2 linked regions of the Schizosaccharomyces pombe genome follow. The gene in region 1 interacts genetically with each later gene. Each region holds a gene or a part of one and is shown on either strand. Other genes may lie near its edges.

Evidence for each region. Genes that interact genetically often act in the same process or in processes that back each other up.
Region 2: mutations in acp1 (region 1) and adf1 are lethal when combined (synthetic lethality), as found in Schizosaccharomyces pombe (2 studies listed by BioGRID).

Annotation. Positions count from the first base shown.
Region 1 is NC_003424.3:4,582,578-4,587,831, reverse strand, and holds acp1 (F-actin-capping protein alpha subunit), read right to left. Parts: upstream 2,618-5,254; 5' UTR 2,578-2,617; coding exon 2,508-2,577; intron 2,462-2,507; coding exon 2,268-2,461; intron 2,204-2,267; coding exon 1,697-2,203; 3' UTR 1,296-1,696; downstream 1-1,295. Other genes in the region: til1 (tRNA(Ile)-lysidine synthetase family protein), read left to right, coding at 1-382, 442-1,248; succinate dehydrogenase subunit Emi5, read left to right, coding at 2,807-3,099, 3,156-3,282; peptidase Icp55, read right to left, coding at 3,499-3,669, 3,714-3,821, 3,871-4,092, 4,136-4,213, 4,275-4,658, 4,698-4,825, 4,869-4,901, 4,950-4,963 and 3 more. UniProt on the Schizosaccharomyces pombe protein: F-actin-capping proteins bind in a Ca(2+)-independent manner to the fast growing ends of actin filaments (barbed end) thereby blocking the exchange of subunits at these ends.
Region 2 is NC_003424.3:4,824,757-4,827,629, reverse strand, and holds adf1 (cofilin), read left to right. Parts: upstream 1-1,503; 5' UTR 1,504-1,552; coding exon 1,553-1,555; intron 1,556-1,606; coding exon 1,607-1,712; intron 1,713-1,875; coding exon 1,876-2,180; 3' UTR 2,181-2,373; downstream 2,374-2,873. Other genes in the region: C-24(28) sterol reductase Erg4, read left to right, coding at 1-947. UniProt on the Schizosaccharomyces pombe protein: Controls reversibly actin polymerization and depolymerization in a pH-sensitive manner. It has the ability to bind G- and F-actin in a 1:1 ratio of cofilin to actin. Binding to F-actin is regulated by tropomyosin.

The sequences.
Region 1 (5,254 bases):
TCATCGAATTCGTAAGAATAGCACTGAAGAGGCTTTACAAACAATCTGGAATTTGAATCGTATGTTAATACCAAATGTTTATCTCAACATCAATTGGGGTAATGATGATGTTCACTCTTTAACAAACCTTGAGACAATAGCTCGAGAGCATCGATATCAAGTTTTGACTAGAGCTTGTATTACACACAATATCAGGCATATTTGCACAGCACATCATGCCAATGATCAAGCAGAAACCATATTTATGAGATTGCTAAGACGTAAACCCGGAACATGGGGTGGATTGTGTGCAATGAAACCAGTATCGCAGATACCAGAATCTGACTCAATTTGTGGGGCTTCAAATATAGAACTGTTACGCCCATTACTTCCATATTATAAGGTAATATAAATTAAATTCGCATTGTGGATTAAACTTTTATGCTAACCTATGAATTGAAGAACCAAATATTAAATACCGCAAAACAACATGGAATTGCTTGGGAAGAGGATCCAACAAATGCTGATATAAATCTCACCCCTCGAAATGCAATACGAAGATTTCTAAACCAACATGCCGCATTGACCGTAGAGGCTACAAAACTAGCTACCGCGTTTCAGTCCTTACAGGTGAACATAGATAATAAAGTTGATGAAATACTAAAAGATAATATTGTGAGCTACCATCAGCCATCTGGTACATTATCTTTATGCTTTTCAAAAAATGAGCTCAAAAAGCACTCTAATCTTACTAAGGAAGAATTGCTCTTAAGGTGTCTAACATTGACTACAAGTTGCAGACAGATTAAACGATCTTCTGTTGTAAGCCTTTGTAATTCAGTTTTTGATGGAAAAAAGCTAACAATTGCTAAATGTCTACTCACTTCCTCTTCTATAAAGGACGACACTAAATTACAACTCCAAATTTCCAGACAACCATTTAGTAAAGCTGAATTGAAAAAAAAAACTATAACCATAAATCCTGATCGTTATGTTTTATGGGATCACAGGTTTTGGATAAAGTACAGTTGCAAAAATACACAGACTACACTTATACTTAGACCGTTGCTTTCCAAAGATCTAAATTCATTGAAGGGATTTTTGAGTAAGGAAGAGTTTCTTAAATTTTGTATACAAGTTCCGGGCCATATCAGGTTTACTATTCCAGTCTTGTCGGAAGAAAACGATAAGTTAGTTGGAATACCTACTTTTGGGTTTAATTTTAGAAGTGATATTATCTCAAACTGTCTACACAAGTTCAAGCTTTAATTGCTGCTTGAACCATGAAATCAATGTTAATTAGAGATACAAGATTTGTGATTTAATAATGCCTCATTATTTATTTATATTATCACAAAGTCAGAGGTGAAAGTCAGATGCTCAGAGCATATTCTGGTGATAAATAGCACGACTGATGCTTACACACAAAAAGTAATACGCCCTTAAATTACTGGTGACGAGCGGTAAAAAAATGATGAAGAACTTGTATTATTGATCGTAAAAAAATAATTTCCTAAAACTTATAAGAGTTTAAGAAAAGAGCGTGTGAGTTGCTCTTGTAAAGTTTTAGAAAGTAAACGACTAGTAATTATTAGTCGTATATCGAGCGACAATGTATATGTATTTAGGAAGAAGGAAAAGGAAACAGCTTGAATCACCGTCTTAAAAAATATCGTCGCAAAAAAATTTCCAAAATTTATAAACACATATAAGTGTTTCAAGTATTTCTCATACGGATGCCACTAACGTTTTCCCAATTAATTTTCTGGCGAGTGACTGGAAGTTGACGACGCAATTCTTTAAACTTTTTGTCATTAAGTGAAGAAAGTTCAACGTTGAAGGACTGTTGAATTCCATTTTCGACTTGAGCCAACACTTCATAAAGCTTACTGGTCTCCTCGACTGTAGCAGAAATAGGACGGGATGCATCCAACCAAACATTTCCGTCTTCATAGTAATGAACACGAATATGCGACCTGCCTTCCAGTTTCTTTTCCGAAACGTTGTAATTGCATATACAGCGCCACGAACCGTTCCAATAGTTCTTGGGATTATACTTTGAAGAAACCAAAACAATTGTAAACGATTCCACTTCATCGCTTTTTTTGATGATTCCAAATGTTACATCAGATAGATAGTGATCCGAAGCAACCTTTTTAATTTGCTTTACTATTTCATCGGGAATTTTTATGGCTTCGGTATAATCTTCAACGTTTTCAGCTTCCTATGAATACTGTTAGCTATTTAACAATTATCACAAAAAAAAGATTTGAAAAATTTAACCTTACCATAGTTTCATAATTAATGGTAAATGATTTCTGTAAAACTTGATCATAATAGCGATTGCCCTCTAGACGATTATCAGCTGAAATAATTACTTTTTCGTCATCCGATATGCTGACAGAAGAGTTGTAGTCTTCATGATAAAGCTTCAGTTGTTCGTGAATTGCTTCCTCATCACTTAGACCGATGTCGCGTATATCTATTATATGCATTAGAATGTTGAGGTATTCAGCACTTTAACAAACCATGAACTACTTGATTAACTTCTCCTGGAGGAGATTCTCTAATGAGTTTGTAAATTGCCTCCTTTTCCATCTTTCGAAATTTCTATAATGTGGTGCGGACAATGGTGAATGGTAAGAAACGAATACGGATGGTGAAGACAATGCCGCAAAACTATCACCAAAGAGTTGTATAGTCTACCAAATCTTCCAAAAAAAGGAGCTATAACCTAATTTTTTTTTCTTTTTATTCATATATAAGTAAATATAGCCTCGGAGGTCGTCTGGTTAATCGCTTAGTTGTTCATTTGAAAATATCAACAATGTTAAGGAAGACAAACTTATCTAATATCACGACGCTTCTAAGAAGTGCAAGATGTATGAATAGAATGCCTCAACTTCGCTTCGAGCATACCAAAGGTGATTTAAAAAGGGTGAATCGCTCTTACGAGACTAGAGACGCAATGTTGGCAAGACTTAAATATCAATCTAGAAAACGGGGAATATTGGAAACGGATTTGCTTTTATCTAATTTCGCCAAAGATCAGATTGATAAATATCCAGTATCTCTTCTGCGAGAGTATGATCAATTATTAGATGAGCCCGATTGGGATATGTAAGTAAATGAACTTGATATACTTAATGTGCGCTATTTTAACGTCCAATTTTTAGTCTATACTGGTGTTCAGGAGAAAGGGAAGCACCTGAAAAGTGGAAATCGAGTCAAGTCTTCAAGGAATTGAGCAAATACTGTCGAAGTCAGAGGAATCATACACTTCGAATGCCAGAACTATTTTGAAAACGTTTCTTGTTTCTCTAAACTAATGTTTATTTTTGACGTTGACTTTTCAATAAAATATTAAAAAAAAATTCGTGTAATGATTAAAATTTAACAGTATATATAGATTTTTTTCCCTTCAATCTTACTTCTAAGAAACTTAGTCCAAAAATAATGTCTTTTATTCTACGATAGTCAGATGTAGTCCTAATTCTTAGTCAATAGGTAACACAATCTCTACTTTTTCAAAGCTTCAATTTCTTCAATTTCTTTTGGAGCAGCACTAGTTAATACGAACGGCTTGTCATCACCAACGATTACGCTATCTTCAATTCGAATAGCTATTCCTTGAGCCCATTGAGGCCATCCGTCTTCTTCTGGAACATATAGTCCGGGTTCTATGGTAATCTAAACCCCGTTTAGCAAATAATCTGAAAAGAACTTCAACTTACAACTTGGTTTTTGCGCAACGGTTGGTAACCATTATTCGTAGAACAATCGTGAATCTCTAGTCCAATCTCATGCCCAATTGAATGCGGATACAATATATCTGTAATCTCCTATAGCCAAGGAAGTTAGTACGAATATTTTGCGAAGTAGCAAACTTACCCGTTTAGTTCCATGAATGCCGACCTGCTTCAATTCTTCATGCATTAATTTAACACTTTCAAAGTGAATATCAGCCAAGCTCCAGCCATTACTGGTGCAACAATACTTAATACATTTCTTTTGCACATTCAGAACTGCTTGATATAAATCCCTTTGTACAGTACTAAATTTGCCGTTGATGGGCCAAGTCCTCGAGATATCTGTTACATAACCACCGAATTCCTGTTAAGCAAGTGTTAATTGACAAAAAATTGAAGGCACTTACACCGCCAGCGTCTACCAAAACCATTTCGTCAGGACGGAATATATCATTATTAATTGTGTAATGGATAGTCAAGCCATTCTTCTTTGTTAATAAAGCTTAAAGTAATAGCATTCAGCATTTTCAGGAATTGATTACTTACTTTTCCACCTGCTACTACAGGCACATATGCGGATCTATCACAGCCTCCAATACAAAACCGATAATTGAATTCCGCGGACATTTCAGCTTCTTTCTCAAATCTTTTCCGCATAATTTCCCTGTAAACATTTGAACTTATATTGGCTGCTTCTTTCATGCACTCCAATTCAGCCGTACTTTTAATGCTCCTAAGCGGATGAAGAAGTTCATCTACCGACCTTTGGGTTGAGGTTCTAAAGAGTTTAGTAAGCGTATCTTGTATGAATTCAGGAGCGGATGCAGCTGGCATTTTTGAGAGGTATCCGGTTTGGTAATTATAAAAAATCCTATTCGACTTTTTTCCTAGAGCGTTTATAACCGAGGAAGCTAGACTAGAATCATAAACCTAATAATTAATACCTTAATAACAATATGTTCGGCTTACATTTTCTATTTGAAATAATTTTTTCCCAAGTGTTGAACCTGTTCGAAGTCCTTCCCATTTCTCTATGTATGGATTCTTCGATGGGAGATAAAGAGAACAGTCATAACTTCCACTTGCTCCATTTTTAACTTGGAAATTGTTAACATCGATTTGTTGTTGAGTTGTACTTACACATTAATAGTACAGCATTTGGTTCCAAGCAACCTTTATTCAAAGTTAAAAAATGAAACTAAAATTAATTCTTTCGATTACCAGTTAAATAATAACTACAACGTTAGCGATATCAATTTTGAAATCTTACAAATTTGGATCCTGGTGGTATTCATAGCTTCAAATTGTTAATTCGTGTTACCAAAAAAAACCTTACAAAGCTGCACCACACATATGTCTGTAGATACTCGGTTAGACGTTTTTCCTCATGACTTTAAAGTGTTTACCTTACTGGAGCAGACGTAACGATCATAAAGTCATTGTCTTCTAAGAGAGAAGCGACTCGATCTCTCCTAGTTTTATATTCTTGCGCAGATATCCGAGGAGTTACTAAATTTAATTAGACA
Region 2 (2,873 bases), 240 kb from region 1:
CAATTACTACATTTATCGACATGTTCGGTCCTTTGATGAGCGTTGCAATAATAACCGCTTTTGTCTGTACCTTTGTTTTGTACACTGGAACTTTGCTTTTTGGTGATCGACTTTTTGATAAACCTCATCGGTTATCTGGAAATCCCATCTACGATGCCTTTATGGGAGCTTGCTTGAATCCTCGCCTTGGCAAATTGCTTGATTTTAAAATGTTCTTTGAAGTTCGTATCCCTTGGTTTATCCTATTCTTTATTTCCGTTGGTGCTGCTGTTCGTCAATATGAAACTTATGGCACTGTAAGTCCTCAGGTACTTTTCGTTTGTCTTGGCCATTATTTGTATGCAAACGCGTGCTCGAAGGGAGAGCAGTTGATTGTTCCAACTTGGGACATGGCTTATGAAAAGTTTGGTTTTATGCTTATCTTTTGGAACATGGCTGGGGTCCCATTTACTTATTCACACTGCACCCTTTACCTTTTTTCGCATGATCCATCTGTTTACAACTGGTCAACTCAATATACAACCGGTATTTATGTTTTGCTTCTTTGCTGTTATTATATATTTGATACTTGCAATGGTCAAAAAAATCATTTCCGTAATCAAATTTATGGTACTGAGGTTCATCGCAAAACATTTCCCCAACTTCCCTGGCTTATCATCAAGAACCCTACCTTTATTCGTTGTGCAAATGGCGGTACTTTGTTGACTTCAGGTTGGTATAGGTACGCTCGTAAAATTCATTATACTGCTGATTTCTTTCAATCATTGTCATGGGCATTGATCACCGGTTTTCAGTCCCCTCTACCTTACTTTTACCCATGCTTTTTCTTTGTAGTCCTTGTGCATCGTGTTTCACGTGATATTAAAAAGTGCAAAGCTAAGTATGGGGCTGATTTCGATGAGTATTGCCGTATATGCCCTTACTTATTTATTCCCTATATATTTTAGAAATGTCTTTTTAGTCCCTTCTTTACTTAATAAATTGGCTATTCAAAATTCCACTTGAAGTGTTTTTCTACTTTAAAATTCAGTTAATTTTTGTGAAAGTTCTCAAATTTGATTGAGTAGCTGGAACATTCCTTAAGTTATGAACGAACAAAGTAAGCAGCTCTGACCGTTTTTTATACAATCTATTTCTAGACTTAAAAATTATTAACTTCCAAGTCTTTTTGCATAAAGATTTTTGGAAATAGCGTAAGGAATAGCTAATAAATAGTAACAATCATCTTGTTTCTTCATAGCGATCCATTTACAGTTAAATTTTTTTTTGCATTAGTTCACTCACTTGCTAGATATATAAATTAGTGTGGAATATTTAGGCGGTAGTGCATACGCATAACCATTTGCTATTATTTTTTTGTAGAACTGTATGTTTTTTCGCTTATATTTAATAAGGGTCATGCAACATAATAATAAGAAATTATAGACTCTGCTTGTTTAGAGTAGTGCGCCACCCTTACTTGGGGCGACGGTATCTACTGATGCGAGTAGCCCTCCCCTAACCAAACCAGTGCCAACCACACTAGCTTACCCGCTATCAGTAAATAAATAATATGGTATGAAATATTTTTGTTAACTTTACATCGTGTTTATTTAACATACATTAGTCTTTTTCAGGTGTCAAAGTCTCTCCCGAATGCTTGGAAGCTTTCCAAGAGCTCAAGCTTGGAAAGTCACTCCGTTACGTAGTTTTCAAAATGAACGATACCAAGAGTAAGTGACGAAAACGATTTAGATGGAATTTGAGAAAGTCCAATATCCCTTTTTTTAAAAATAAATTTATTTATCTACATTGATATATATTTTATGTTTGTAATGTCTTTCTATGTCGTTTTTATAATTATGTGGAACCTTTCACTAATTTTTTTTTGTTTAGCTGAAATTGTTGTTGAAAAGAAGAGTACGGATAAGGACTTCGATACTTTCCTTGGTGACTTGCCTGAAAAGGATTGCCGTTATGCTATCTATGATTTTGAGTTCAATCTCGGAGAAGGTGTTCGTAACAAGATTATCTTTATTAGCTGGTCTCCTGATGTTGCTCCCATTAAATCTAAGATGGTTTACTCTTCTTCTAAAGATACTTTACGTCGCGCTTTTACTGGAATCGGTACTGACATCCAAGCAACTGATTTCTCCGAAGTTGCTTATGAGACAGTTCTTGAGAAGGTTACTCGTAAGTAAAACACTTTTGGTTACGATTTCTTGACTCATGCGTAATACGAAATGAAATTAAATAACTTCGTTTCGGTATGCAAACCGATCCTTCAACGCTCCTTAAATATCTTTTTCTATATATTTAGAACTATAAATACAAAGATTTAAGTGTACGTTGGTTTCCTGTTGATATTTAATTTGTCAATAGTATATCTACTTTAAAAAATTTGTCATGTGATAACGGATGAGTCGGTATATGAAAAACACTGCAAGTTATTTGCCAATGTAATTGACAAGCAATCATAGAGAAATTAGTTCTACGCAGTTTCCACCACTAGCTGAAATGTTTGAGTGCCTGGGTGCTTGCAGGTTTTTATTCATCTACTTCAAGTATGGTATAGTAAGTAAGCTTAGTTTTATTTTCTCAGTTCCGACTTTTTAATTCTGTAGATTTCATCTACCACTATTTAGTCATTGAAATTGTTACAAATATTCCTCTATATATAATGATTCTGCATTCCTAAAAATGCTAATTAACAAATTACGAAATCCAACGATCTACAAAGTAATGCCATTCCATATTAATATAACAATTGCTGTTCATTCGCTATCATTTTAAAATGATGTTTTCATTAGTTTGCTCATTGATCACATAGCATGTATTTTACCAGCTATTTTCAACGTACTAGTCTACTTGATCTGTTATTGATCAAATGTAAG